Linked DNA regions of Drosophila melanogaster. The protein of the gene in region 3 interacts with the protein of the main gene of each other region in a pairwise test. Each region holds a gene or a part of one and is shown on either strand. Other genes may lie near its edges.

Region 1 (10,732 bases), on a different chromosome or scaffold from region 3:
GGCAACCTCAGCGATCGGCGGGGCGGGCGTGGGCGTGGCTGCCTCCGGTCCAGTGCGACGACCCACTGCCAGAGCCACCGCCGGAATCCAGAGACGCAGGGTGGTCAAGAAGCACATCCAGCAAAAGTATATGCTCTGCGGCTTCGCCATACACGTAAATATATGGTATATGCCATCATGTTGTCTCTCTAATCCCATTGAGATCTAGGCTTTCCTGGCCACACCCGCCTATCTGTACGGGAACGTGGTGGAGTCCGACAAGGATCTGGTGTTGAGGATATGGCCGGCGATCGTTTACCAGGCCACAGGCGAGCTCTGCCGCTCGATCATGGAGCACTTGGACACAGAGTACAGTGGCAGATCGAGGGAGACGACGCAGTACCGACGGGTCTTCCTCCTGGCCACGCTCATTGCCTGCGTATCGCTGATGGTCAGCGGGATCCTGTTCTCCTCCGCCTGGATCGTGGTCACAACCACCACACAGGTGGTAGCTATTGTCTTCTACGGATTCTTTGCAGGTAAGTTACCTGGGATTCAGTCATCCGTAACAAGTTGGGGCTAATCATCTGTCATCTGCAATCTCAAGTCCAAAAAGGCGGGAAGCCTTTTGTACAGTTGTGCTTATAAACATAGTTGTGCCTGCGGAGTTTATTATTTGTGACAGCACTTTTAAAAGAAAGTTTAGGATATTTTTCATACTTATTCAAATAAAACGACAGCTTCGTTGTGATAATAAGTCGCTTATCGTATACCCAATATATCACATATCACGTATATATATATATTAGTGGGTGTCATTATTACACTGCACGCCTTATCAGTCCGATTTTGTTTATGTATTCAAATATAAATGGAATTCAATAATTTCATAGTTCTATGCCGCAAGGAGTTCGATTAAAGAATCAATGATGTTAAACTGTGCCCAAACTAAAGTTAAACTTAAGTTCGACAGAATTTTTTATTTTCAAAGCGGAAAAGCGACAAATTTAACACAACATTCTATCGCCTTGTCCAAGGTATCGGCTCCAGCTTGTACCTGTGGAAGACGCACGTCATTCTGGAGGCAGTGCGTCCGCGGGAGGACAAGTACGTCCGCAAGACGATCCACCTGTGCGGCGAGGCCTTCTGCCAGCTGTTCCTCTCGTTCGTGTTCACCAGCCTGCGCACCTTGTACGGCACCGCCCAGTCCATCGTACTGATGTCCGCCCTGCTGGTGAACCTCATCCCGCTGAGCCTGATCATTACCAAGCATCGCGAGGATGCCTTCACCACGAAGCGGATATCGGTGATCAAGGCGGAAACGGGATTCGCTGCACTGCCGCTGCGAGCCGCACTGGCGGCCAACTTGGTGGCGGACCAGCTGGACGGATTGGACACGCTCTCATGGCGGAATCCGGCCACCACCGAAATGGCCACGCCCAGTGGTGCCGTCGCCGCCGCTGTGGTGGTGGACACGCACAGCAACTACATGCTGGCCACCGATGAGGCGTATGTGACGTATGTGAATCCCAACGGGGTGGAGATTATGGAGATCATACCCGAGGAGGACGAGACGGTGTCCATGATGCGGTCGAGCAATGCGACCATCGACAATTATGCCATGTCCGCCTCGCAGATGTCGCACAAGTCCCTGTCCAATGGACGTCTCTATCCACTGACGCCCCAGCATCCTTTGGGCACAGGAACGGGAACTGGTACAGGTAGCTCCTCACCCCTACCTCCCGATTATGCCAACCTGGTGAGTAGTGCGCAGGCTTTGTGGAATATGGTGACCGGATGTGAAACCTTTCCGTATGCTCCTCATTTTCAGCGCCGCATCCGGCGGATGTCGCGTGCGGTAACCACGCACCTGTGGTGGAATCTGCTGGACAAGATCGCCATGCCGCTGCAGCAGGCGCTGCTGGTGCCGCAGCTGTACGCCACCACGCTGCTCCTCTCGGCGGACATCTTTAGCTACGTGATGTGCCTGACGGTGCTACCCGGACTGGCGGTCAGCCACCATGCGCTGAAGAACGCCGAGATCCCGTTCCTCTTCTCGCTGCTGGCCTTCCCATGGATGTGCTTCTCCCTGATGACTCCGCGCTTCGGCACGAGCCTCTATAAGCGGAAGCTCCAGTGGCACACGCTGGGCAGCATCTGCAAGTGCCTGGCGCTGATCTGTGAGTCATGATACCCGTTTCAAGCTTTCCCCGGGCCATCAATAGATCCATCTTTTGTTTCGCTTCCAGTCATCAGCTTCTCCACCTCCAAGCTGCTGCTCAGTGTGTCCGCCGTGCTGCTGGGATTTGGCCAGGTGGTGACCGCCTTTCTGCAGGAGCTGGTCTTCCAGATGGGCATGACGCGGGCCAACTGGACGGCCATCCGCCGTCCGGTGCACTTCACCAACGGCCTGCTGGTTCTCCTCTGGGGCGCGCTGGCCCACTGGGTGGTGGAGCGGTACTCCTTCCAGGCCACCGTGGGACTGGCCGGCGCCCTTTACGGAACTACCACGCTGCTCTGGAACTTCCTCTTCTTCTGCTGCCAGAGCAAGGATTGAGGGACTGAAGAATTCGCGCACTCTCACACAACAAGGCATCGTGTATGTGTGTGTGTGTGTGTGCTGCTGTGGCTGACGTTGTTGTTGTATTTGTGCAGTGATATTAATAAATAAATATATAAACTATAAGCAAGCTACATACATTTTAACATAAGTCTTAAAAGTCTTATTACGTCAATTTGAAAAAAGAATGGAATGCTGGCCTTTAAAATATCCCTAAAGAACTGCTACAGAAGTAGCTATAGCCTTTTAGCTATTTTTCCATTAAGCTGTGCTGACTACTGTACTTTGGAAATGTGGACAGTTTTTTTCCGATTAAAATAAGTTTAAAAGTATAAAATGTTGCGTTCATTCTAGAGATTGGTTCAATTTTTTAGAAATCTGTCGCACACTAAAAAAAATGCATGTTCTTACAAAATTCGCTGTGTAAGAAATATTGAAAATATTGAAATATTATTGGAAAATATTGACGAAAAATTTCCCTTTTCACCGAATTTGTCGTATTTTTACAGTAAGACTAAATGCCGTTATTTCCTCAGATATTTCTAGGTAATTACATTCGCTGCGTGACGAAAGCTGCCTGCTATGATGCGGCAGCCAGACCCAACACTGTTGGCCGATATCGATTGGTTTGGTATTATAGAGCAATATCTTGTACGGTCATACTAAGGCACCAGTACGCCAAAACCGAAATTTTCTTTCTTTACTCAATTTTCATCGAGCTAAGTTGCGAAAATTTTCTCAAGTCACAGTGAAAAGTGTACATTGTTTAAAACCTGGCCAAGGGGTAAGTGTTTGTTGCAAGGCGCTTGTGGTGTGGCACTCAGTGCGGTGCAATAGCAGCGTCGGCATTTTCCGGCGGCCGCAGAAGTGGCACCAAGCAAAGACGGCGAAAAACAGCGAAAAATGCGCAAAATCGGGCTTCCTTTTTGCCGGCTCGTTTTCCTTTTTTGCTTATTCTTCTTCTTGCGATTCTTGAAAGCGAATGCGTGTGGAAAAATAATTTCTGATTAAATTTCAATTTGCAGCTAAAAGTAGCGAAAGCGGTAGCGAACACACGCATGTCGCTGCCTCCCGAGGACACCGATTTGTCCACAAATTCCGCATACGAATCCGCACTCCAAATCGCGAGCAATGTGTCGGCAGCACGAGTAGTCGGTTCGGCAGTAGGACAGCGATTTTCGCCGTCGCCAGCAGCTCACCCGAACGTGATTGAGCGCGTCGCGTCTCATGTGGACTCACGCCGCAGCACGTTTCCAAGTTGGGGTAATCCGTCAGTAGCGCCAAGAGGATCGGAAGAAGCAGCAGCCAACGCCACAGCAACACAACTCCTATGGGCGGAGAACCAAGGTCTCCCGACATCGCACTTATTGCCAACTGAACAGGCATTCGAGACATTGAACACTAATGCGTATTGTTCCCCGCCAGGGGATTCACGATTTACGTTCCCTAGCCAGAACTACTCGCCGCTGCTGCCGCGGTGTGTCCCAGTTCCGAATCAGCGTTACTCTCCAGATGGATCGCCAATACATCAACTCCATGAGCTGCAAAATTGTCCATTGATAGATTCGCCGATAAGACTGCGATTTCCATCCCCCTTGCCAGAACCACCATCACTACCGACCATCACCCTTACAGTTGATGCCCTGATCGATCTTGACCAAAACAACCAGGTCGCATATTATGTCCAGCAGTACAACAATCAGCCAGTCCTATATCAACAAAACATTCATATAGGAACGGGAATCCAACTATGCGATCAGGCCTCCGAGAATAATCAACCGATTATATTACATATCGTGGAGCACAATCCCCAGACTATAACTGAGAGCCAGGAGCAATTCCACCAGGTTGTCCCCGAAATTCAAATCAATAATATCCAGGAGCAAGATCAGAAATTTGAAAATGGCATCTCGGAACAAAATCATCCGATTGCAACTGAGGCTCAGGATCAGACTTTAACTGAGATCCGGGATGAAAACCAGATTGTCCTTGCAGTCCAAGAAAAAAATCTCACGCGTGCCTCTGAGATTCAGGACCAGAACCAACAGACATTAACCGAGATCCCAGAGAAATGTCTTCAGATTGCATCTCCTGTCACTACTGATATACAGGTACAAAGTCCTCAGGTTGTAATAGAGATCCAGGAGCAAAATCACCAGTCTGTAACGGAGATCCAGGAGGAAGTTCACCAGACTGCCCCCGAAATCCAAGTGAACGTTTTCCAGACCTCGTCTGATATTCAAGGGCAAAATCACCAGATTGTAACTGAAGAGCAAAATCATCAGACTATAACCGAGACCCAGGAGGATTACTCGGCTGTCTCCGAAATCCAATGGGAAAATCTCTCGTTTTCTGCTGAGATTCAGGAGCAAAACCAGCAGATCGTAACCGAAGTTACGAAGCTTGCATCTCCTTCTGTTACTGATATACAGGCACAAAGTCCTCAGTCCGTAATCGAGATCCAGGATGACGATGATGAAGATCTAAAGTTCGAATCTGATGATCTGCACACTATACCTGAAATCCAGGAGAAAAACCAACAAAGTCCTCAGTTCGTAATCGAGATCCATTATGATAATGAAGATCTAAAGTTCGCATCTGATAATCAGGAGCAAGATCAACAAACAGCCGAGCTCCAAAAGGAAAGGTTCCAGTTCGCATCTGAAATCGAGAAGCGAGATCTGCAGATTGTTACTGACACTCACAAACAAAATTATCACAATGTAACCGACATCCCGTTCGCAACATACATCCAGGAGGAAAACGAGCAGTTAACACCGGAAGACCAAGAGGAAGATCAACATTACCTGAATTTTGAGGGGAACCAACAATTCCAGCTCCAGAAGCAAGATCAGCTGAGTGTACCACAGATCCAGAAGCAAACCCACCAGTTCGAATCTAAGGTCAAAAAGAGAAAGTTGCAGCCCTTTTCTGAATACCAGCAGAAAGGTCAGAAAGATCATATCCAAGAGAGGCAGTATATTCAGCAGGAATTCACCATCCACTCTAACCAGGCTTATTCTAAGGTCCAGTATATACAAACTATACAAACTGCGACTCCGTACGTACCTCAATTGGAAATATCCCAGGAAAACAGTTTTGAGGTTCAACCAGCATACGAGGTAAACGAAGGCCAACGGGACAGAGAACTGGTTAGTTACACAGGCCACGAGCATCAGAACTTTGTTGATGAGGTCTCGACACCATTACCGCCCGCTGAAGCTCAACCAGGATCTACTTCAGAAGATATATCAGACCCCGTTTCACCTGAACATTGGGAGCAGCTAGAGTCACTCGATCCGAGCACTATTTGTATTCGCAAAACCTTCAATCTAATTCGCGATATCTCTGAAAGTCTGGTGGCCGATCCAGAGCAACCCGAAGCCGAAGCCCACCGGAAGTCAATTTTCCTTCTCCGCCAGAAGCTAGCCGATGTGTGCCATAAGGTTCTAACCGAAATTATACACGGCCGGGCCACCGATGAGATCATCTCCATTCTGAGAGAGATTCTCGAGCAAACTAAGGAAATACCTCCACGCCCCACGCCGAAAAGAGACCTCCAAGAAGACATTTCGATGGGCTTAGAAATATTAAAAAAGATCCGTGGTATGCTATCCGGTTGGTATTCTTCCAGAGAAAGCGAAACGGACTCCACGGATACCGGAACGGGATTCCAGGCTCAAAACGGAAAAGGTTTTGGTGCCGGCCGCCAGCCGGAAAATAGTTTTTTATCCCAGAAAAGACGGTAAGCATTAAGAATTTTATGTTATTTTTAATTTTGTTTACCTAAATCCAACTAGGTAAGCCTGCGCAACAATTTTATGTCATTCATTGCTACTCCCATGTAAAAATTTCAATTAATGTTTTTTCTCTACTTTCAGCAACCAAGAAGAGAACCCTCGTCTGATCAAGTACCGGCGTGTGGACAACAGCTTTCCCCGCTTGATAACGAATGAGACGGCCGAGGACCTGATTCCCAACAATTCGATGGCCAAGCGGGATCAGCCCCAGAGCTCAAAGCGGCTCTCAATATTTAATCCGCCGGTATACACGCAGCACCGAGTGCGCAATGATGCCCCCCACGTACCTACGCCATTTGACGATGAGGAGTCGTCACAGAGACTTGCTAACGCGGGCCCATCATCCAGGCCCATGACTTACTCGGATGCGGTGCGTCTAGGCCATAATGGCATCTCCGAGTCGCGCGTAAATGGGCACTCCAGCCATACGGTGCGCAGAGAACCGTCTCGGCTGCACAGAAGCATTCTGTCCCACGAGATGAACTGCAAGGATCAAGAGCAGTATAACGAACTTATCCGTACCCAAACAAATTACGTGGGCAGTCGCTACCTCAAGCCGGGTACCCCGCCAACGTTTCAGCGGGCTAAAGCCCAGTCGGCAACCAGTAGCAGCTGCTCACTGCAAGACAACCAATCGAATATAACAGATTCGTTCCCGTCGCCACATGGCCGTGCGAACCCTGAGCTAACGGAGTACGCCAAATTGATCAACCGCCAGGAGAATGAGGAGAACAGGTCTCCGGCACCACAGCAGCCAAAGCGAAACGCTAGCAATAGCTCTGCCAGCCATGCGTCCACTATTTCCAGCAGCGCATCTTCCTCCTGCAGCACTTGTTCAACTTGCTCATCTTCTGACACTGAGCCAATGTTGGTTAAAGATAGCCCGGAGGTCAAGGAAGCCAACGAAGCCAACGAGGCCAACGAAGCCAACGAAGCCAACGAAACCAAGGAAAAGTAAATAAATGCTTTATATCCAAACGTAAATAATTTGCAATAATCAAAAATCCTGATTTTATCACCAATTAGTGACGCACCTCAACCTACAACTACCAGAATCAAGAAACCAGACTTCTTGCACCGTCGCTTTGCCAACTGTATCTTTCTAAGGAATGACTTTGCGGAAAATTTCAAAGCAAGAGCGAATCGCCGGCAACTTGAATCCATGCATCTTCTTGGAATAGCTGAACAGCAGTAAGTATTTGTAACGCTATAATTAGGCCCAGTACCAAGAGGCTTTTTTCCAATTTTAGGGCTAATGAAAGCAAAGATGAACGCCTTGCCTATGAAAAAAAGCTGCGGGAAGTCATGTTCCGGTCTGGTGCTCCCCACCGGCCCTTTTTTGAAATCGGGCCCCTGGAACAGCCGGAAGAGAAGAAAGAGACCAAGCTCATTCCGCTAACAAAGGAGGACCACGCTCGCTTTCAAGAAATGACAACTATTGAGGTTACGACGGTAAACGAATATATTTATTTATTTATATGTGTACCCATTTAAAACGTTTATATGCTTGCGCTTTAAAATCTTATTTCAGAACTTAATTTTCAAATATAACCTACAAATAACTACCGACGACATATTCACGTTTGTTGATGGCGAATGGCTTAACGACGCGATCATCAACTTTTACATGTCCATGCTGACGGAACGCTCGGAGAAGCGAGCTGGCGAACTTCCCGCCACTTACGCCATGAACACATTCTTCATGCCCCGTCTCCTGCAAGCTGGGTATGCAGGCGTTAGGCGCTGGACTCGCAAAGTGGACTTGTTCAGCAAGGACATAATACCGGTGCCAGTGCACTGCGGCAACGTCCACTGGTGCATGGCCATCATACACTTGCGTAACAAGACAATCTTCTATTACGACTCAATGGGAAGACCAAACCAACCGGCGCTTGATGCTCTAGTTAAATATCTGCACGAAGAGTCACTAGACAAGCGCAAACAGCCGTTTGATATGACCGGTTTCGTTGTCGAGAACGCGCAGAATATACCACGTCAAGGGAATAGCAGCGATTGCGGTGTCTTCAGCTGCATGTTCGCCGAGTATATAACGCGTGATGTTCCGATTACCTTCTCCCAGGCGGAAATGTTGTACTTCCGCACGAAGATGGCCCTGGAAATCGCCGACGGAAAGTTGTGGCAGTAGGGGTTCAAGCACAAAACTACGCAAAAATGGAGAATTCAGTTCTTTACTTATTTTTACAAATCTTACGTAAACACTCCAAGCATGAATTCGCGACAAGTACTTAGCCATCGAACGAACTCGTTTATTCGATAGAATCGAGATGGCTGAGACCCCTGCTGGTGCATTAACTTGTTCTCATATCTGATTGTAAAAGAGAATCTATTTCTTCAATAAAATGTCACCAAGTAAAAGCGATGCGAATAAGGATGTATTAATCGCCGAATATCTTCAAGTTTATAATTAATATTTAGAATACAGCAAGCTATGAATATGTACTAATGTAATGTAATGTACTGCTCTAATCCTAACTCTAAACTAGGAATTACTGGATTTCATATTTTTTTCTTACATTGTCTTTTCTGTTTCATATCGTTAAGTTGAAAAGATCAGAGCCGCTGATAATTGAAAATCATACTAATACTCCAGTTTATTTTTGAATTTATCGGTTTTTTTTTTTTTAAAGAAAATGTCGCTATATTCCTATAAATTAGATAATATTAATAAGGAATCAATCTTAATTTAGTATTTTTGAAAATGTAGCTTATTCAAGCAAATACTTATTATACAAATATAGGTAAATGTGGGTTAATGGTATTAGTTTTGTTTTTGTAAAGATTTTCTCTAACCCTTAGGAAGTAGTACACCTTTCATAACCTAAGGTACATAATGTAATATAATTTATTTTTGCAGAGCGAACTAAACAGAAATATATATTAAACAAAAAATATATGAAAATTCTATGATGCTTTTCAAATCATCCACAGGGAGGAGGATGCAACAAAAGGGGCCAAAGTTGTGACAATTCAAGTTGTTTATTCTAATCTCGAAAAAAGACTTGATTGTTTAGCTTTTTCTGTCTTATATCAAAATTTCGAAATAGATATGCCTGATGCCCGCTAAGGTCGAGCGATCAGTGTGACCCTGCCAACAAAGCATAACGGTAATAACAAAAGCTAACGGTATATCGCCAGTGTGGACATGCCACCCCAGACGGGCAGTGCGACCAGGCCGCGCAAGAAAGCAGCCACTGGGAACACGGCCCGCGGATTAGCAGCAGTTGCGAGAGAGGCGCGCGCGCGGTCACAACTGGGCGACGGCAGCGATTGGGGCATGCAAATTATGCCAAATAGCACCATCGACGGGAGCACGAGCACGAGAAGCAGCAGCAGCAACAGCAACGCCACAGCCAAAGTCATCGCCAGCGTCAACGCCGACAACCGAGCACAGAATGCAGCAGAGCACCGGAGCGGCGACGTCATCCGCAGCAGATAGCGGGATGGGGGCGACGGACCTGGTGTCCAGGTGCGTTGGCGACGGCGGGGGAGGTGGCGGGAACAGCTGCTCCGGCGGATCCAGCGACCCAGCAGCGGTGAGAGGCGTTTTTCCATGGAGTTGCCCAATTTTGTTGCTTTCCACTTTTTCTTCTTGTTCTTTTTTTTTTTTAAGTGTTCGTGCGAACCAGTGTGTGTATTTATGGTTTGTTTGGCCTGGCCAAAAATTATATAACTTTAAGCGGAGGCAGCGCACGCTTAGTGACACCCCCAAACCCTCCTCCTCCTTATCATCCTCCACCATCACCCATTTCACCCCGCTGCTCAGCAAAAAGCGTTGTAAACGCGCACAACAACTGTGTGTGTCCGTGTGTACATGTGTGTGTGTGTGTGGGCGAACGTTTTATTTTCCATGCTCCTCCTCGGCTCGTTTGTTGTAATTTTCCGCAGTCAGCGCGCATGCCACCCCCCTGCTACCCCCTCCCACCATCCCACAACACTTTTCACACCGAAAATATTTTCAAATTAGTCCAGAAATCCAGAAATGCTAAAAGCCATTTTTGCAACAAAATAAAATGAAACCAAATTTAGCACACAGAATCAGTGGATTTAAAAACAATCACAAGTACATATTTTTACTCCACCAGTTATTCCGTAAGGCTAAGTAATCAAGCTAATAATATTCCTTTCGAAACCACAATTCTCTCTTTAAAGCCGAAAGAAAGCTTACCACTTACAGGAATAGAGGTGTTCCACAAATGGCTAACTTGCTGAAACTCAAAAGTTTATTGGATAACCAATAAGTACATATAATGCCATACAGAATAGAATTGATATTTGAGAATCCCTGTAAATGTATCGTAAACTGCATGAAATAACGGATGAATCTTTTTGAACTGCAAATACTTGATTTGTAAACCCAGCTAAGTTCTAGAAG
Region 2 (5,553 bases), on a different chromosome or scaffold from region 3:
CCCTTCTCCTTGTGATTTTCCTGACCTTCTTTGGCCTCTTGACCTTTCGCTTATAGTGAGTGACAGTCTTCTTTTTTGAGCTCGAGGAAGGTGAGGCTGTTGTTGTGGTGGCCGAAGCGGAAGTGGTGGTGGTGGCCGAAGCGGAAGTAGTGGTGGTCGCCGAAGCGGAAGTAGTGGTAGTGGCCGAGGCGGAGGTGGACGTGGTGGTTGTGGACGCCTCCGACTCGTGGATCATCACACAGCCGAGGAAGGTGGCGAGAAGTACGAGTACCACGGTGATCTTCATGGTGAGCAAATGCTACAATAGATGCCTTGCTACTGATGCTGTCTTGAAGAACGAAAGCCAGCTTTTATAGTAGTCTTCTCTACTGGGTTTATCCTCTTCGGCCAAACTGTGTCAGCCAAAGAAAAGATGTTATTTTTGGCCAAACAAAAATTCGCTATTTTTCGTATTGGCACAATTGTTTAAACAGATAAAATTTGCACATGTACAAGAGGCATGATAATCTATTTTTGTATGGAGCTTGTCATTTTGCGAAAATTTATTAACTGTTATTATAAAAATCACTTAAGCCACTAATGCCAACGGAAGTCTAGTTTTGTCAACCGTTACTTGGTTTTTAAATAAATGCAAATGACTTAGGTTAAATCTATATACGATAAACGCATTGTAAAAACTGCAGAAAAATTCAACTTTATATACTATACTATATATATAGATTCTTTACTATATATATACTATATACTATACTATATTCAACTATATATTCTGCCACTTAAATAATTTCCCCTAAAAAGTATACTACGGCTTTTAAAACACGGAACACATCAGCTTTAAACTTATTCTCTTAAGCAAATAATGGAAAAATATTAACCAATTAAAATGATTTTGCCATAAATTGTTTACTTTCATTTGTAGCTTGTCTGAATTATAGACAAACAAACACATTGTGTACGTAGCTTAGGAAAGCGCTATTATTAACTATATTAAATAACGTCTGGGGTAGATAATAATACTTAAGATTATAATATATAGCATTTATTGTAGGAGTATGCCCTTTATATTTTTTCTGAAAGTAACTATTTGATCAAAATTTCAATGGTTAATTATACGTTGTAACGAACTTGACATACACTTTAAACAACAAGTGATGCTTCTTATCTCGATCTGTTTTGTAAAGTAAATGCATAAGTAAAAGCATAAGTAAATGCTTTAAGCGGCATTGATAAGCAGAATGAACTAATATCGAAATATTCATTTTATTTGCCTTAAGTGTTTTGAACGGAAAAAAGAAAACCAAAAAGAAAAACTACATTTTCAAAGGCGTCACGATCAGATCAGTTGGTTTGTTGTACAAGATGTGGTCACTAAGACAGGCGTCGGGCACTTCGGGCTCTCCTGCGGCGGATGCGACTGTTACCACTGCGGCTACTGGTGCTGCCACTGCTGCTACTGCTGCTACTGCTGCGGCGACGACGACGGCTGCGTGTGCTGGTGCGATCGGTAGAGCTTTCGTCGTCGTCGGCCTTGTGCCTATAGATATGTCGTATCCGCTTTGGCCTATAAACATGACGTGTATAGTGATACGTCCTCTTCTTCTTTTTACTCTTTGAGGAGGAGGACGAAGTGGTTGTGGTAGCCGCTGTGGTAGTAGTTGTATCCGACGCAGTGGTTGTCGTGGCCGAGGCGGAAGTGGTGGTGGTAGCCGAAGCAGAAGTTGAGGTTGTGGTGGCCGTGGAGCCACCTGTCTGTGGGATTAGCAGACAGGCAACGGTGGCCAGAAGTAAAAGAACACAGGAGTAGCGCATGTTGGATGGCCAGTGGCTGGACAACTGATGTCTGCAGCCAGAGGCCGTGGTCTTTTATACTAATTACCACAGTTAAGCAATTACGTAACAAAATCTTTCATATCTTTTGCGTAGCGAATATAAATTGGACATACATAATTGGGCATTTCTTAAAAGTTATATTATATATTTGCACTTAACTTACTTGACTGTTTGAACAATTGGGCACAATGAACAATTGACAAACTTGCGGGTTTTTTGTTCTGCAAAAACGCTCCCTTTGTTTTGGCCAAAACTGTTGACAAAAATTTGCAAAAGAGGATAAACCCAGTTGAGAAGACTACTATAAAAGCTGGCTTTCGTTCTTCAAGACAGCATCAGTAGCAAGGCATCTATTGTAGCATTTGCTCACCATGAAGATCACCGTGGTACTCGTACTTCTCGCCACCTTCCTCGGCTGTGTGATGATCCACGAGTCGGAGGCGTCCACAACCACCACGTCCACCTCCGCCTCGGCCACTACCACTACTTCCGCTTCGGCGACCACCACTACTTCCGCTTCGGCCACCACCACCACTTCCGCTTCGGCCACCACAACAACAGCCTCACCTTCCTCGAGCTCAAAAAAGAAGACTGTCACTCACTATAAGCGAAAGGTCAAGAGGCCAAAGAAGGTCAGGAAAATCACAAGGAGAAGGGGTCTCAGGAGCCGCAATGGTCGCAGATCCGATGAATGAAAGATCCACAGGACCAATAGGAAATCCACTCCAATCCCAATGCTGAACCCAATGACAACCATAGCACTTAACTTTTGAATAGTTTATAATGAAATAGCAATATTGTTCGTTTATAAGGCAAATATATAAATCAATGAAATAGTATTTCTCATGTTGAATTTCTGCATTTTTTCAAATCAGTTTAAAATGTTTTTTTTTTTTTGGTTGACAGATTGACTGAATGTAAAGTTATCAGTAGTTGAAAAAGTTTGTGTTAATTATATGTATTTATTTAGTAATATTACGGCTGATCATAGTTGCATTTTCAAAATTCTAAGAATTGTATGATCTTTCGCTCATATATCATTTAGGTTAGTAACTTTTCTCACTTATAAAATGAAAGCTTTAATAAACAATCATCCCGCAAAAGTGTGCTACAAAAAAAAAGCTGTGTTTTGTGCTGCTTTTGTCTCTTGAACAAACAAAAAATAGAGATTAACTTAAAACGTATAATGCTTAATTTGTTTACCTTAGCTTATGTAGCATTCATGTTTGGACTTCGCAAATATCCGAATGCAAAAATTTTGGTAAGCAATAAAGATTGCTATGTTTTCGAGGTCAACTGGCGTCGTCTACAATTGAATACTATTGTATATTTGAACCATTGCAAATGGGTTTTCTGTCAATTGTTTAAATATTTGAATATTTTTGCTTGATTATATTTAAATGCAAAAATGTATGCGAACTTTCTCTTTCACTTGTTCAAAGATGTTTTGTCTATGTGGCGTCGTATAAATTTAGCTGGTCTGTACAATTATTTTCTATAATAACCCAGTCTATGACCATTTTGGTCTTTCCCACAAGTCTGTTTAAATAATAATAGGCTGATGATAGGATCATGTTTTTGCTAAACAATTGTTTGATTAATATTTACGATTAATCTTTACGTTTTAAATCCATTGATTATTTACCCTTTAAATCCAACGATTAATATTTACGTTTTAAAGCCATTGATTAATATTTACCCTTTAATTATGTTTTCAATTTGATTACTTAACTTGAGATTTTTTAATTTGAACGCACAGATAAATGCAAACCAAACTTGAGCAAGATCATGTTTTTCAACATGACGTTCCAATTTTGCCCATTAGTTTATCATAGATATATTCGCTTAATTAATATTCAACATACACAACGCTTTATTCAAGACTTTTTAACAAACAAAAAAAAAAATTAAACAAAAAGGAAACACCAGCATACTCTCAATACTGAAAGTAGTCATGCTTCTGAAAGTCGGTGAAGGAATCGATGTAGTCCTCGGGATGATAGTCAATGCTTTGGTAAGCGACATCAGGCTCCGTAAAGTCCTCGACCTTATAAAAAATTTTACATACGAGCAGCCAGGGCAGGACTATTAGCAGCAGTTTCCATTCCATTATCTCTCTCGCCCAAAATAACAGCGGTTTCTGCGATGACCGACGAAGTACTAATTAAGGGGAAGCTAAAGTGTATAAAGCTTCCATATAGCCATATAGCTATATAGCCACACAGCCAGGATGTGGGTCAGTTTGTGCAGCTGGCGTCTGTCCCTGTACAAGCTCAAATATGTGACTAACCCACTTTCATCCGCACAGCCAGCCGCCAGGTGGAATACTTTCAGGCGGGCGAAAAAAAAAAAAGAATCGAAAATGGGGGAAAGTAAGTGGCCAAGCGCTATGGCCAAGTCGAAATGCGAATTTAAACGCTAATTGACATAGAAATGCGTCGGGGAATGTAAAACTTAACGGAATATTAAACAAAATTGTCATAAAGAAACTATTTGAGCGAGAATTGCAGTTAAGGAAGTGGATGTATATGTATATAGAGTAAGGTATAGTAGGTACTTAGTTATTTAAAATCTTTAAAATATTTCTTATTTAGAATAAATTATATTTGTAGCAACTGTTTCCTAATTCGCTTTTTTCTCCATTCTTTCTTTACAGATCTCGGCTTGATAGAAAAAAAAAATGTTTTCGCGCAACAGATAGCTCCCAACCGAAGTGGGAATGATGCGATTGGCGCGATTTACGCAGGGTTTCTCGTTTAACAAGAATGTGGCCAAGGTGGTGGGGGAAATGGGCTTCAAAACAGCCGTTTATATGCTCTTTTTCAATTTTTAAACTTTGGTTCTTGCCAAGAAATATACAATAGAACACGTTTAAAGGCCAAATCATGTGTAGATGAAGAATTGTATATTTTGTGACTAAACCACTCTTGAATATGATAGAAAAAAAAAGGAAATTTATATTGATATAAGTATTTGGTTTCTCTGCATTTTTAGCATCGCGGCAGTGGCAGTAGCAACGGCACCGGAAACGGAAGCGGGACCGGAAACGGCCAGGGATTAGGTGGCAGCTGCAGTGCCAACGGCCTGGCAGCCACTGGCGGCGTTGGAGGGGGCGGTGGGAGTGGCAGCGGCGGCGGTGGGTGTGGCAGCGGGAGTGGCAGTGGGAGTGGCAAGCGGAAATCAAAGGCAAGAACAAAGTGCTTCGGTGGCACAGTGTTTCGGTGTTGCCTCCCTTGTCGCGGGGGCGGCTCCGCAGCCCCCGCCACAAGTCCGCCCCAAACACCAGCCCAGACGCCGGACGAGCTCAAGGTCATTCCGGAGGATTGTAATCTGGAAAAGTCCGCGGAGCAAAAGCGCGACTTACTGGAGCGGAACAACAAGGAGGACGATCTGCTGAACCGCACCGTATCCGGATCTGAGCTGGATCTATACGGCGGCGCCGGCGGCGGTACGAAAAAGCATTCGCTGGCAGACACCATCGATACATCGGTGACCACCCCGATTTCCCTAAAGACCCTGATCAACGACGTCGACGAGGAGCTGGACCAGCAACTGAGTGCGGCGGATATAGCGGCCGCCAGTTTGGCCAGCGGTCTGGTTGCCCGCCGAGCGGAACCAGAAACACTGAGCGACGCCAGTGTCTCACCCACCGCGGTGGTGCAGCAGCAGCAGCAGCAGCAGCAGCAGCTGCAGCAACCACTCTTGCAATCACAACCACATTTT
Region 3 (8,034 bases):
CAGAGTGAGTTATTAAAATCTGCTTAGAAACGTAGTTTATGGAACTTTGCTTGGAAGAGTCCTTCGGCCATTTAGAGTGTGCCCGGAATTAGATTTCAGTTTTGGATCCTCATTTAGTCAGCTGCTTATTTAATGCATGTATTTATGATTTCATTTACTATTTATTTATTTATTTATTGATATCAAAGTACTACTATATAATTCTTGCCAAACCGATATGAACTTTTTTCAGTGCACTCCGTCAATATGATGAATATAGAATCTGAATATGGGCAGGCATCGGCTGTCGAAGTTGGGCCAAGACAAGCTATAGCTGTGGCAGGCAACCCGTCACTCACCCACCCACCCATTCACTTATTCGCTCATTCACCCATTCATTCATTCACTCATTCACCCATTCCCGGGCCATCATTTGCCAAAGCCTCGCAGCAGTAACAATTGATATGCGTGTACGTGAGCTGAATGGCGAGCCTCCTCGCCGGAGGGGCAATTGAATCGATGTGCGCGGAGTGCGGCAGTGGCTCCATTGGGGAGTGGGACGGATTAGGGCAAACTTGTGAGCCAAGTCAGTGGAAACTTTGGCAGTTGGCGGGCGGGGGATTGGACCGAGATGGTAGCCTTAAAGTGTATCAGGCGGAATGGAAAACTTCTGCTCCTGGCCCACTACGACCGACGTTAGAACGCCGTGCGGGAGTTGGGCGGCTGGTTCACTGCTTCCTGCAGGAAACGCCAAATGTGTCGCCCATGTCTATTCTTATCAATTAGCCATTTGTCATTTCCGAGTGCGCAAACAAACGGCCGACAGCCGGAGCATTGCCAACTTCAATCCATAACTCAGTCGCAGTCCGGCAAAAGCCGTTGGGCATGCGCTGTCTGTCAGGCGGCTTGTTCGCCTACCCGGCAGTCAAACAAATCGGCGTATATATATATGGTTATGAACAGGAATTTACACAAAAATGCAATCAGCGCGGCTGATAAATTTACAAACTTCGTCCGAAGAATACAGAGTGGCACGCTGTCGCGTTATCATAAGCAAATACTTACATTGCATGAACGAGGACTCAAGGAACTTATCAGTTCGATTCATGGATACTATCACAGCGTAAACCAAATGGCGTATGTTTGCTTGTTATATTTGGCTATCAGTCCAGATGCATTGGAATGAATTCTTCATCAGGATCAACCGTCGTGTCAACAGCTATCGTTCTTGCACAATAGATAAAATACAGTAATGGGTATCTGATAGAATTTTTAATCTTCGAAAGCAGTCCATCGAGAATGTCAGTATCTATAAATACTTTATGGAGTGGGAAAGGTCTGGGACAATAAACAAATGTGGCAAAAGATACTATGCCAGTATCGCAGCATGGGGTTGATGTATTCACAGAGTCCTTGAAGGCTATGTAAATATTTACTCGTGATAACGCAACATTTGCTTGTTCTATCTATGTATGTATTTTGTATATCTATTAGCAGCGCTGAATGCATTTTTGTGTAAATTCCTGATCATAACCATTTGGCCGCCGCTCATCCGCTCGTCCGCTGATTTCTTTGACTGCCGGGCAGGCGAACAAGCCGTTTGACAGACAGCGCATGCCCAACGGCTTTGGCCGGAATGGGTATGAGTTATGGTTGGAAGTTGGCAATGCTTCTGCTGTCTGCTGTTTGTTTGTACACTCGGATGTGACAAATGGCCAATTGATAGGAACATGCAAAGAGTCTATCGAATAAAACTACGTACAAAGTTAAATTGACTACAAGACAGAATGTTTGATTTGCTGGAGTTGTCCTGTCAATAACATTTACATTAATCTTGCAGAATATTTGTATATATTTTTAAATTAATATCCAATTCATAGCTTTCTGGGTGTCTGTAATCATAAAATAGAAGACAAAAAACATGTTTTTTTTTTTTAACTAAGAAAACAGACAAAGAGACAGAAGAAGTACTGCTTTCATAAACAGTCACCATATATGATACAAATTGGTTACGGTTTCCAGATAACGCCTTTCCAAACGCTGTTCGCTTTTCGATAGGCGATCTGGCCCGGAGCGATATCAGTTGATTAGCGGCGATCCACTCGAGGAATTCGTTGTGGGCCCCTCGAAATTGTGTCACCGAGTCAAACATTCGAAAGTGGCGAAGAACAAAGGGTCGGATCAACTGGTGAGACCAATCAATCAACCCACAACCTCTGCGATACAATCTACAAGTGCGTAGCTATAAATCCCCATGCCCCACGAAAACCGTAGAGTTCGTAAATCATACATGTCCATATGATATGGTGCACCAATGTGACAAGATCGCATTTCTCTGCTGGAAATTATGACAAGTTGTATGTGCGATTTCGGCTTAATGCCGGCGTCAATCATTGGAAATTCATCAGAGGCCGCGATTGGCGGCGGTCCGCCATTTCCAATTTGGACTGCAAGGCGGATTCGCCGGAAAAAGCGAGCGAAAGGAAAAGTCGGGGAGGGTAAAAACAAATCAACAGTTCGAATTCGCTCTTGTTTTGTTCCACATTCGCCGCAGACGGAAATCTCTTATACGAGCCGGAAGAGAGCGGAAAAACTCTATCGGATTTGGAGTTTCTCGGCGATTTTCACAGAGCACAGGTGAAGTGCCTGGGCCTGGGCAGGTAAATTCAACTCCATTGTGGATAATTTTACTGAGAATTGAAAAACTTAGTTTTTAGCGCAGCATATACAATATAAACTATACTGTAGCTTAAATGATAAGTTTTAAGGAAACAAAAACATAGAAACAACTCCAAATTATGATTTAAATGTTAATTTGATAATATAAATCCTTGCAGGTCCTTTACAGCGCTCTCCACACATAAACTTTGTAAACAGTTCCACCGACGAGCGAACAGAGTCCACAAAAGAGAAGCGCTCGCTCTCTTAGCATCCACACTTACATGCAACGGAGTGGTGCGCTGCACGTTACATTCAATCGGATTCAATCGCTCGTCGACCTTCGTGCCGCGCGTTACAAGAGTCGCAGTCGCTGTCGCAGTCCGCCGTCTCAGTCTCAGTTTGTGCCCCCAGTCTCAATCCAGCTCTCGTGACAAGAAGAACAGAACGCCTTGGCCACTGGCAACGCGGTCGCGAATCAACGCAGTTACCCATCTCAGGCTTAATCGGCTGGCAGCCAATCGCCAAGAGATCCGACAGATACGGATACGCAATCCGCGCAGCGCGAGTGCAGAGATACGAATTGGTCAGGAATAAGATACGGTGCAAGTGGCACCCAAGATGCGGCAATTGTGCACCTGCGGCCGCCAGCAGCGTGCGGCAAAGTGTGTGAAATGTGCTACCTGAGAAAATGCCCACGGAGTGCTCAAACATATCGAAACAAACCAGCAGATAGAGTATCTTTTGCTGCCCCAGTGAACAACAGTGCTTGAAATTTTAGTAGAGAAATCGTTGTTTTTTGCTACAAACTAAAGTGCAAACGGAATACAATCAATATACACCTTAAGTCAACGCAAAGGCTAATTCAAAACTCTTGGAATATTTAGGTGAGTTGAGAGTGAAGAAAGGCCTAACTTGAAAACAATCAGTGCTCAATGCTCAAAGCAATCATGTCAATAAACAGGATTTCCCCATAGAGACTTTGCAATGCATAAATAAATATTGAGTTGCAAACAATCAATTAGTGCGACAAAAACAAGTTTATGTCAATTACTAACTAAATAATTCATTTATCCGAAAAGAAACCAGAAGAATATTGGCCCAATCAAATGTATCTCATCAAGGCGCATTCCAGAGATCAAAAGATATCATTTCCAACCCGTTCTCCCCATTTCTTACGGTGGCTGTCCCCTTGCCTCATTAATTAAACACAAATTAAGAAAGAGCCAAGCTGTCAACATCTGGGGCTAATCAAACTAACCTGCTGTATTTTATAAATAAGAAGCGAAGAAGAAAAGCGGCGGCAGGTCGTAAAACGCTAAGATACTGCCCTTATCTCCTAAAGAAAGATCTTTCTCCGAACACTTTGTGCCTCCGACGGCTGTTGCACACAGATTCTTATCTCGCAGATGCAGTTATGTATCTAGATATTCCGCAGTACAACCTCAACCTCGAGTCTTTGGCAACTTCACACTCCGCTAGACGCGCAACGAGGCCCCTGGATTTCATAATTTTCCCGCTGTTCTGCGGGGTAATTAAGTAGAAGTATGTTTGGCAATTAAAGTTCCAGAGACCTCGCTTTCGCTTTTTCCCCCCGCAATCATCAGCTTTTGTAAATAACTCGAGTTATTTTTCTTGCTCACTTGGGATGGTTTAGAAATTTAAGATTGAGATTGGGCATCCGATGGGTAGCGATTACCGCGAGCTGCGAAGATGCAGCCGCAATCGCGCATGCATAATTAATTTCGTGTAAAAATCATAATTACACCAATTAAAATTTGTGTAAACAAGTTGGCAGCAGGCGGGCGAGTCCCTCAATCTGCCCCAAGCGCCGTTTGGGGCGCAATCATTATGATAATACCGCTGAAAAAACTTTTCGTGGTCGATTGCGAGGGGAACTCTTTATTGCCATTGTAGAAAAAGTTGGTGGGCCCAGGCGGAATTGAGTTGGCTATATTATGGTAATGAGACGTTTGAGTATGCCTCCAATGAACAACAGATTTGCCGCAGATTTGCCCAATCTGCTTTAAACTGCGCCTAAAACCCATAATTCGATGTGCGTGAAAGAATTTAAAGCACCGAAGTTCATAGATGCATCCACATAGCTACCATTAACAGGTTGTATTCAATATTTTATTCAAATCTAACTAAAATACTAAGACAGCAAAGTGATAAAATTGATTAGCAATGAAATTATGAAATGCAATAATCGCTAGTTTTATTTCATTGCCACTGAATCCGAAAAATACGTTATTCATTCAAACGTTGCGTTGAATAAAATGTGAAATATGTTTGTGGAATTAAAAAAGGTGTATAAAACTATATTTATAAATATACAAAGTGTGCAGCTTGGAAATTCATGGGAATTATTATGAATTTATTTTGTACATAAACACACATCTCTTTCATTTACCTGCAACCATCTACCAACGAAATGAAAATGTGTATCTCAATTTTTGGGGGGAAAATATTTTCTTTTGTCAGCTGGGATTACGATGGAAATGGGGCAACAATATTTACCATGTTCTTCTGCAATTTTAATAAGGATCCATTTAAACAGCATTGATTAAACTTTGTTTTCATTAAAATCTAAACAAAGCCCATTCATGCAATGTCAAAAATAAATAATAAAATGTCTAATTAGACCATTAAATCCGATGGCAATATAACAGCCAGCTAGTCGCATTTGAACTATTTAAGTTTAATTTGAAATGCCAAGGTATATTTCTTCTTTAAATAAGTAAAATTCCACCGACGTGCGGCAATTTATATTAGTGTCTTCTTCAACGAATTCAACTTCCATTTAACCTCATTCTGTACACATCGCATCCCCCAGGTCATTTTTCAGGGGCTGGCAAACACAACAGTCAACAAAATTTATACCCAAGAAGTGTCATTCTCGTGTGCATTTCGGGCTTTTTTTTTGCCGCTGGTTCGACGAGATCGTGTCGCTGCCCACATGGCTGCCACCGAATTGCTGGCGGAGACTCCAACTCCTCCGCGTCCCCTAATTAATTAGCATCTAACTAAGAATAATGTTTCCTGCGGCCCTCGACTGTCATAACTTGGCCGCAAGTTTATTTGTTTGGCTCGCCAACCGAAGGCGGCGCACAAAAGACATAGCCACCATTCCGTGAGATACAGATACAAGTACACAGATACAGATACAGATACGGGGGAAAACTGGAGGCACAGATGCCAAGACGGCGCACAGGTGCCACATTTTCTTCGATTGCAGGGGTATAAATGCCGCCAGGAGCACTAATTCGTGGCTGCCACTCCGCATTTTTGTTTGTTAGTTTCGTTTGGCTGGGTTTTTATGGCCAGTGTTGGTTTTTTTTTTTAGTTTTTATACACTGGCGTTCTTGTGTTAACTTGTAAAATAATTACTGACGCCGTTGTCTAGTACTTGTGAGAAAAAAAACGTTGAGTGTTTCGGCAGCTCAAAGTGCCCATAAATATCCGCATCCGCAGCTGAGAATTTCCAATGAAATGATTTCAAATGAAATGACTTGGCGCCAGCTCCATTCCCTTAAAATCTGTTATGTGCTTGCCACATTTGTTGTTTCGTCTTGGAAGCTCAGAGACCTCAACTTGAGGTTTTCAGCAGTTTCGTTTCCTTTTGGGTTTTTGCTCTGCTGCGGCGCTTAATTAGTTCAGAAAAAGTTGAGTGCGTTAAAGTATCTCGAATATTTCAAGCTGTCAGGAGTTTGGCGATTGGACAGCAAGGAGGAAAGCTGATGGAAAGAAATTGAAATGGAATTTAATGGTAATTGCTGGGAATGGACGATAGATTGTGGCTGGATCAAAGTTGCCCTCTGTGGTTCTCAACCCAGTATCTTCGATCCAGATAGCGTTCTCACACTTTCCCTTTCAGCCAAACAGCCAAACTCACGAGCGAACCCTTTTCCTCAAGTCGGACCACACATCCATTAAGATTTCCTGCTTGGCTTCCTTTCGATAGTGGTGACCCTTATCTGGGCCCCTTCTGAACACATTCTCCTCCTACTCCTATATATATTTTATGCAAATGTCACCGGGTGTGCCCCCTAGATGTGCCTTCTACGGCGAGGATTTCGTCGAGCTAATTAAGTTTCGGTTACAGTTCACTGCGCAAAACGGCGATCGCTGCATATGAAATGTGTATTTGAAATACTGAATTGGCCCTCTGATGCGCGGCGGAAATGAATCGCCGCTCATCAACTTGACGACGAATTCCCGCATGTGTGATCACTGAATAGGGCAGTCTTATATGCATTATGAGAGGCCTGTGTCTCCCCGTCGATTTGTCGGAGTCACTGAAGCAAGTCGCTGCCGTTTGCTCATCTCGAAAATATACATCGTCGATTGCGGACATGGATCCATCCAAACATTATACGCATCACAAGACAATGTAGCGTCATTAGCCCTGCCTTGGACCCAGCCCTATTTCCACTTCCAGTTTCTCGGTGCAAACAAAAAAAGAAACGCAAGGCAGCCCAACCCACAGAACCACCGAACCACCGAAATGCGGGAGGTCTCAGCTCAGATACAAATGATTTGGCTCGGTAATTAGGCTCTAAGTTGCCAAATACACAAATCGAGGCAACATATGCATCGCAAATGGAATCATTTGTAAGTGTCCACTCCTGTAATCGCTGACAAAGCTTTGTCATACATGCAACGTAATTCTTGTCTTGGCCAGTCAACACGTTCTGATACCAAATGCTGGGTGTGTTCCCGTTTTGTAGACCTCATTTTCCCGACTGCAGGACAGATCAACCCTGTGCCATCTATGGGTCCGGTCCGCTTCCCAGGAGAATTCATTCCATCGAGGGCCACACGTCAGGTGTCGACAATGTTCAAAGTAAACCTTGTCATTAAGGAGTTGGGGGCAAAACGACGAGGGTTGCTAATAAATGGGCAACATGTTTGCTTAATTAGAGCACAGCCAGGTTTACTGGGTTAAGAGCCAAATGTTGTTGCTCGCCGCAGCGGAAGGGTTCGGCATGGGAAAGGCATGGCAACCGAGGGATAAGAGCAAACTTAAGTCACTCCAGATGTAATGGAGCTGAAAAAACCCATCATGGGAATAAAAAAATAATTGATTTTCCCCTTTTCGAGGGTAGCGAATTGGTTTAGACAAAAAAAAAAAAATGCCATTAAGAATACAAATGGTGAGTTATGAACTCAATACATTTTGAATCGATTAATGCGCAATGATAGTGAAAGTGCATCTCTATTGCGAAATATAAGTTCTTTGTGACATTAATATAGCCACATACCTCTCCACTGCTCTGCTGTTCATTAGTACCCCATTTTGGTTGGGCGACTCATTCGTTTAAGGTGCATTTCCTTGTATATGATATGCTTGGGACCAGGCCAATGAAGCTTTTCCGTCAATGGGCCAAACAGCAG
Region 4 (7,759 bases), on a different chromosome or scaffold from region 3:
TTACTTACTCAATGGCTAACGAGCGCTTGAATTATTTAACTTTGTTAAAAACCCAGTTGTAACACATAAAATGTAATAATGCATATATAAATAATTCCACTTGCAATCCTAAATTTCCTAAATTCATATAAATTATAATAATAACAAAGGTACTAGAGCAGGGAAAGTTTGACTAGGGTAAGTAAAGTGTACTTTACATAAATGAATACCAAAATCTAACTTAATTTTCACTCTATCCCTAGACTAATTATTTTTAAATTTCACCAGACTTATGAGGTCCTTTTTCCGTCTAACCCCACTTGCCCTTTCGCTTAGGCAATCCTGCCATAACTCGCAGCTGATGTCCATTTGTTTATGCATTGATAAAGCGAATGCTCATATGCCTGCGCACACACACACACACACACACACAGTCGCCCACACGCGAAAGGGAAAACATAGCATACATTTCGGCTGTTGCTATTTTCGCGTGGCCTTTGCATATTAAGTTTATGCTTTATCGTTTATTGCGCACACTGACACAGGCATAAACGTATATTGCCCACATAATTTAACAAACATTTCATTTATATGCGCATTGGCCTGCGATTGTGTGGGTTTTCTGTGTGCGGATGTGTAACATTTACGACCCCTGGTTGGTCAAGTCACATGACACTGAGAAAAAAAAATGAGAAATATAAAGTAAGACATTATTTAAACACCAATTTCAAATTTTAACATATTAACATTAACATATTTTAATATGACCATTTAATTAATATTAAGTGTTTGCTTTTTATATCCGTAAGATATACCCTATATTATATTAATAAAATTTGGTTCTGAAATCAGCTACGTATTAATGGGCTCTCCATATATTGAAACCCTATATATTTTTGCCATTATTTATTTTTCTCCTGTGCAGAACGGAACGCATAAAGGCAGCTCCAGATGGCCAGGAACTTCGGGGCACATGTCCGCCAATGAGGCGTACTTAATGATTATGGCATTTGTTTTTTTATTTATTTACATTTATTTATCTGGCCTTCCGTCTTGGCCGTGGGCACTTGGTTTTGTTTTGGTCATTATTTTTATAGCCCCGTTGGGCCGACTTCCCCTTGTGGCCATCGCATCGAATAGCCGTTGACCACTCCATTTGTGTTTTGTTTTCGCAAGCTTACTCGCGCATATTTATATTTGCTGTGGATAAGCCGCTTAGCCCGGGAGCATCGACATTTATTGCCGTCAACTAATGTCCTGCAGCTATTTGTTGGACATTTAAGCCTGGCACATTTTGGGGATTTCAGCTCGGCGGCGAACAATGAACTCCTTGGACCCACAATGCCAGTGACCTCTTTTCGGGCAAACTGAAGCTTATAAATGCCAAGAACAAATGAGCAAAAATTGCACATCCGCCCGAGCATCAAAAGGATAAGGCGGAAGTGCAGGAGACACTTCGGACTTAGACGCCAGTTGCCATCCTGGTGGGTACTCAAAATAAATTTCGAGCAAAAAGCACAAGCGATTCCGAAATCCCCGCCCATCGGCAGCCCGCATAAAAATACTCGATGACAGGACCAGAAATGTCTCGGTTATGGGGTCTGTGTGTCTTGGACTCTTTGGCCATCCGGGATATCATTTAATGTTGTGTATCTTCTGGTGGTTTTCTCCCTCAGTGCAGCCGAAATTGGCTTAAACTGTTGCAAGTTCATAAAACAAACAACCAAATTTGAAAAGTTGCGAGTGCCAGCCGCAGTCGGAAACTTTGCCATGCTGCCTGAACTTGAAATTTACGTTAGTTAAATTATCAACTTCAGCGTCTGGCCAAAAAAACTTTCTGTGCAAAACAAAGTCGTCGCTGCGTCCTTTTATTTTAAAGGAGTTTGCCGCGTCTGCTGGGTAATCGGATTTTCTTTTCCCGAATTTTCTAATAATTCTAAACTCTCTTCTCTATAAATCTGTTATTGTTCAGCAAGTATTTTATTTTCCTGGAAAACTATTAAAACGACTTTAAATCTATAAAATATTCCTACAAAGCGAATATATCGTATAAATATATATACTGGTTATAGATAGTTTTAAAAAAAAATCATAGTATTATTCTGTAGTTTTTACTTCAAAGACATAGATTGTTTTTACTTCAAAGACATAGATTGTGGTAACCACAATTCACTGTAACCATCGAACTTGGTCCGCAACGCCCACTTCCAGGAGTAATAAGCGTCATGTGTGTAATTTCGGCTTAAGATGGCCAACAATGTAAGCGGTTTAAATGTGTAACATTGTTGCCCAGCCAGGCATCAGTTTATTGGATTTGGCCGTACTTAGCTAGTGTGAGGAAAAATTATTGCCGACTGCCAGCGGACTTTGCTTCATACTTAAGCCGCTTAGCCAGCGAAAAGCCAACTACAAATTACAACTTATTATACAAGTTGAATCATCCAACATCCAAGCAATTTGTGGCGACTGAAAATGAAGATCCATTTAATAATCAAGAAACGCACACATATATTGGTTAATTTGTACACGAGCTCATATGTTGCCGGGCTTCTTTATTCATTTACAAACATATTTCTGGCATTATTCACGTTGCATTAAACTAGGCGTTAATAGTAATGAATACATAACAAAACAATTTTTAAATTTCACAAGTCGAGTTCTGAATTGTGTGTTCTTGTGTTTTCAAATTTTGCTGCCGATAATTTTCAGACTAAGTCAGCAATCGTGGGAATCGTGGGAATGGATGCCGGGGGTCTAGTGCGGTTGTTTTTGAATCAAGCGGGGTATGTAAATACTTCTCAAGCGGTATACAATCCACGAAGACTATTTTAAAGTAAACTAGATTAGATATGCACACGCATACGGATGTGTAACTATTTCTTTATATAAATATAGAGGCTGTGTCGGTAATTCTATTCCTGATTCAGGTTCTTGATCACGTAATTAACAATGAGGGCAAAAATTGCAAAGCAGATAATGATCACCAGGTTTGAATAGACGGACTGCCAGTTTAGATAGGAGTTCCGTGCACTATTCTGGACCGCCGCTCCTCCGCCGCTGGCCAAATCCGCCTGACCCGCCGCCCCGCCATCGATTGCGTCCGCTGCATTCAGTGGATTGGCCAAGCCGCCCACCGCCAGATTGCCATCCGCAGATGCCAGGCTCGCTCCGTTGGCCAGTCCGTTGGAACGCTTTACTCCATTGGCAGCGGGTCCGTCCACAGCAGCTGCCGCCTGTGTTCCTCGCAGCCGCTGCTTGATCTCTTCGACTATCTCCGGAAACAGCTCACAGAAGTTGGTGTTGCGCAGGTTAAATGCTAGTGATTTTTGAGCAAACATTTGCTTGTCATAGTTCGATGATTCGATGGATCCGAGTGTGGGTGTGCTCTCCAGCTGTGAAGGATTTAAGATTGGCTTACTCAAACGTATGATCATGTATTCGTAATAACTCACCATGAAGCTCAGCAGTCCAGTGAGAATGGTGCCTACGCACCAAGTCGGGTTCCAAGTGTCCGGATGAAAATCTGAAAATCCCAATAGGGTTGATAAGTTATATGTTTGGAACAATAGAATCTAAACAGATCTAAACAGATACACGAATATCTATTTGAAAGGTCGCAAAAAACATGTTTGACTAAGCCACAAAGTCCATCGGCTTCGTCAAACATAACTAAAACTATTCAGCGTTCAAAGTTAATGGTAGTCTTTAAGCCTGTAGTTACTACCCATTCTTTAATGTTCTACTACTGTGACAACCAATCCGCTTTATTTCTAGCTGTGGATTCGGACTCCTACGGATATGGAACTGACACATACCTGATATACTCAAACACAGTCTGGTGTTGGTCTTGAAGCGACCGTTCGGCGTCAGCATGTAGATGGATGGCGGCTTGAATGGGAACTCGCGCGGAAAGAGCAGGGTGCCGTGGTAGTAGCCGCCGTAGTAGGGCGAGTCCTCCGGCCCCTTGACGCAGTAGTGCCACTCGAGGATGTTGTTGGGCAGCGGCTCGGCGGTTATGTACGGCAGGGGATCCCGCTTGAGGCGCATATAGTCCTGCTTCATGCGCGACACAGCAGTGGGTTGCTTCCGGCCGCCGGACGTCGACGACGAGGACATGGTGTTGTTTTGGTTTTGCTAATTTTTAACGAACTTAATTACTACCGCCCAAGTTTGAAAACCTAAACTATGATCGAACACGACTGGCCTACTGGTTTTTCTCTCACTGTAGCAGATAAGATAGCGACGTGGCCCTGTGGAATAATTTGCAAATCAATTATACTCGTATCTGGTCGCATAAATACCAATACGTACCGTCCTTCTCCAGAATTTCGAAGCTGTCGAAGATTCTTGTTCGGTGTGTTTATCATGCGATGGATTTCAGTCTCGCCAGCTCGGTTGTTTATTGTTTGCTTTTCTAGTACTGGCAGCCAACCTCGGTAACAAGTGCGTTTTCTAATTGTTGTTGCTGCTGTTACTGCGTTTTTGTTGATTTTTTTTTAAATTGCAATGAAATTGAGTGAGAAAACAACGCACATATACAGGCGCACACGACCGACACCCGCACACACACACTCACACACGTGTAGGGGACAACTAGGGCTTGACTTTGGTAAATTTTGGTAGTATCACGAGCTTACTCCGCTACAGTGGATGCCCCTAATTCGTATTAATCACTTGTGGGGTTATATATCCGGGTTTGGAGCTGGCAATATCTTAATTTAATCTTTTATTTTGGCATGAAGAGTTTAGTGGTACCGTGTGCGGAAGTAAGTTTCATCTCCAGTTTAGTGTTACCAGAGTCTATGTTGGCTTCCTCACCACGTGGTGAAGGAGGGAAACTTTGCTGCATACGGTGAGAAAATTGGATGGAGTGGTGTATGTATCCGCTAATTAACTGACTCTCAAATCTGTGCAATTCTTTGAAAACAGTAAATATAGATCTTTTAGTTTTAGCCGATTTGCTGGACTATCAAATACCCGTTACTTAATGCGAGATATGATAAAAAGAAGAAAGAACTCTTTTCGAAAATTGCTTACTAGGCGGTATCTACTTTCCAACGTATCTAGTATACCCGGGTATGTCCCAAAATCCCTATGGCAATATTTTGTAATATACAAAGTAAATACTTTGGTTTTCTAATGTAGCCCTTTACAAATAAGCATGTGTATATCGCCTCTACTGTTATCACGCTCACATTGATAACGATTGTTATCTCTTAAAGTGCGGAATGTTTTTGAAACTTGGTAAGTAAGGATTGCCAAAGAGTACAGCTATATAGAAATTTATAGAAATGGAATCCAAAACACGAAAGTGGATCAACGCACGATTACAGGGATTACAGGGCATCGGCATCTCGCATTAATTTGGACTTCGTCACGCCGATTAATGGGTGAATGAGTTGCGGATGACAGTTGTTCTAAATGATAAGGAAATACAACGGCGGGCAAAATATTAGCAATCGCGGCACTTGAACTGTATTTTAAACTACATATTATATATAATCAATATTATCAATCAATATTATAATTGATTGTTATATAAGCTGAAATCATAATAACTTCACTTTAAATAATGGGTTGTAATTTATGATCTATTAAAAATTTGTCTCTATCTTAAGTGGATTTTAATGACTATTTTTATTCAAATATAATTCGATTGTAAAACAGCACTATTAATAGTTTAATGTTTTCTTTATTTACAATGTGTGAAAAGTTCTTAGTATTTATTATTATTTTGCCCCGCTGTCGATTGCCGAACCCACACATAGGAACCTCAATGATAAGCTCAGATCGCTGGGTGTGTTGTTCCCTCAACGCAGGGGATTGGGAGGGGGTTGGCCGGGCAAGATTTCTTATCAATCCTCGCGTCTGTTTTTGGTCAACGCCGGCGGCGGGCGCACAGTTGCCGTTCCACCAGCAGAAAGTTCAGTACTCACAGTCCGCGGACTTTTTAACCCATTAACTAATGTCGGCAATCGGAAAGATCGGATTCCTGGGAGGCGGGAATATGGCCAAGGCTTTGGCTAAGGGTTTCCTAGCGGCCGGTGAGAAAGCCACTAATAAAATAGATTTGTAGTCTGACATACTTTGTGCTAGACAATAGATAAGACACACTTGGATATGCAATATATATATGAACTAACATCATCTTATAATTAGATACAAAAGGATAGGACGTTAAGGATTTCATCATATAATCGCCAAATTTCCTAATTCATTTCCTAGGCCTGGCCAAACCCAATACCCTGATAGCCAGCGTCCATCCGGCAGATAAGCTCTCCCTGCAGTCCTTTCAATCCCTGGGAGTGGAAACAGTGATCAAGAATGCACCCGTTGTGCAGCAATCGGATGTGGTCTTCGTGTCCGTGAAACCCCAAGTGGTTCCCTCGGTTTTGTCGGAGATTCAGCCATTGAGCTCGGGCAAACTATTCCTTTCCGTGGCCATGGGCATCACTTTGTCCACCATCGAGTCCAGTTTATCTCCACAAGCTCGCGTCATCCGTGTGATGCCCAATCTGCCGGCTGTCGTGTGTTCCGGTTGTTCGGTTTTCGTTCGCGGATCCAAGGCCACAGATGCAGATGCGGATATTACCCAGAAGCTGCTGCAGTCCGTGGGCACTTGTGAGCCGGTGGATGAGTCCCAGTTGGATGTGGTTACTGCTCTGAGCGGAAGTGGACCGGCCTATGTATTCGTGATGATTGAGGCCTTGGCGGATGGAGCCGTTCACATGGGCATGCCCAGGGATCTGGCCTATCGTTTGGCATCGCAAACAGTCCTGGGCGCAGGTCACATGGTGCGGGACAGTGGTATGCATCCCGGACAACTCAAGGATGGGGTCACAAGTCCGGCGGGATCGACAGCAGCGGCACTCAGACAACTCGAGCTGTCAGGTAAGTTGGGATGATGACGCCGATGACGCACTCGCTTATCGCCGCCACTTCAACCTTTGATGTCGATTGCAGGTTTTCGGGCTGCGGTGTCTGGAGCGGTGGAACAGGCGACTCTGCGATGCCGGCAAATCTCGGGAAAGACGAAGTAGGCACATAGGATTATCATATACATATACGTACATTGGGGTGGGTCAATTTTGTTATTAAAGTTATAGTAGTTAAAGGAAGTCGTTAAATTTTGTTGCTTCTTGAAGAAACATGTTTTTAATTTGGAAATGTATGTTGGTGCTATAGTGCTTTCAAAGAGCAATGATGAGATGTTTCATTTTAATCGACCCACCCTTGTGCTTAATCTGGGTTAGTAGCTTTGCATAACTATAAAAACTGTGAAGGCCGATTTCGTGATACTAAAATATAAGCAACACTGCTATATTCTTTACTCTCAGCTTTGTTTATAGTCTAGCTAAAAATAACTAATTCAAAGTCGAGCCTAGAACTTCTTCTTCTTTTTGGCCCGGGACAGCTCATTGAGCTCGCCCTGTTGCACGGATGCCTCCTGGTAAATGCGCTTAACCTTCTCGTGGCGCTCCTTGTCACTGTGGATATGAAATACAATAGATTAGAAAGGAACGGTTAAATTGTAAATGGAACACAAACCTTTGCAGGGTCTGTTTGAGCCTAAGCATCTGAACGAAGGACGTATCTCTGCGTATTTCTCGAATGGCACCCTTCTTCTCGCGCTTGATCTTGTGCAGCAGTTTGGCCCGCTCTTCCTTGGCCTTGGACATCTTGGGACGACGTTTGTCATCGTAAACCGCCTCGAATCGAGGTTCCAGCAGCCTAAGAGCCTTGGGTTTCTTTTCCGCCGGAGCCAAGGGTTTCATTTTCT

Evidence for each region.
Region 1: the proteins of smal (region 3) and Ulp1 interact in a two-hybrid assay, tested with the Drosophila melanogaster proteins (one large-scale study listed by BioGRID).
Region 2: the proteins of smal (region 3) and ng4 interact in a two-hybrid assay, tested with the Drosophila melanogaster proteins (one large-scale study listed by BioGRID).
Region 4: the proteins of smal (region 3) and CG5823 interact in a two-hybrid assay, tested with the Drosophila melanogaster proteins (one large-scale study listed by BioGRID).

What each region holds. Positions count from the first base shown.
Region 1 is NC_004354.4:19,200,625-19,211,356, reverse strand, and holds Ulp1 (Ulp1), read left to right. Parts: upstream 1-3,169; 5' UTR 3,170-3,323; intron 3,324-3,564; 5' UTR 3,565-3,597; coding exon 3,598-6,284; intron 6,285-6,420; coding exon 6,421-7,293; intron 7,294-7,365; coding exon 7,366-7,530; intron 7,531-7,589; coding exon 7,590-7,791; intron 7,792-7,870; coding exon 7,871-8,485; 3' UTR 8,486-9,254; downstream 9,255-10,732. Other genes in the region: CG14195 (uncharacterized protein), read left to right, coding at 1-154, 209-518, 1,017-1,738, 1,811-2,159, 2,229-2,536; CG7990 (uncharacterized protein), read left to right, coding at 9,753-9,893.
Region 2 is NC_004354.4:3,240,249-3,245,801, forward strand, and holds ng4 (new glue 4), read right to left. Parts: upstream 3,973-5,553; 5' UTR 3,941-3,972; coding exon 3,767-3,940; 3' UTR 3,706-3,766; downstream 1-3,705. Other genes in the region: ng2 (new glue 2), read right to left, coding at 1-286; ng3 (new glue 3), read right to left, coding at 1,369-1,809; ng1 (new glue 1), read left to right, coding at 2,202-2,525; dnc (dunce), read left to right, coding at 4,550-4,606, 4,825-5,553.
Region 3 is NT_033779.5:6,176,176-6,184,209, forward strand, and holds the start of smal (smoke alarm), read left to right. Parts: upstream 1-2,957; 5' UTR 2,958-3,524; intron 3,525-8,034.
Region 4 is NT_033777.3:17,529,829-17,537,587, forward strand, and holds CG5823 (uncharacterized protein), read right to left. Parts: upstream 4,760-7,759; 5' UTR 4,291-4,759; intron 4,230-4,290; 5' UTR 4,096-4,229; coding exon 3,795-4,095; intron 3,503-3,794; coding exon 3,432-3,502; intron 3,372-3,431; coding exon 2,892-3,371; 3' UTR 2,497-2,891; downstream 1-2,496. Other genes in the region: P5cr-2 (Pyrroline-5-carboxylate reductase-like 2), read left to right, coding at 5,945-6,023, 6,205-6,870, 6,943-7,019; l(3)07882 (lethal (3) 07882), read right to left, coding at 7,361-7,466, 7,528-7,759.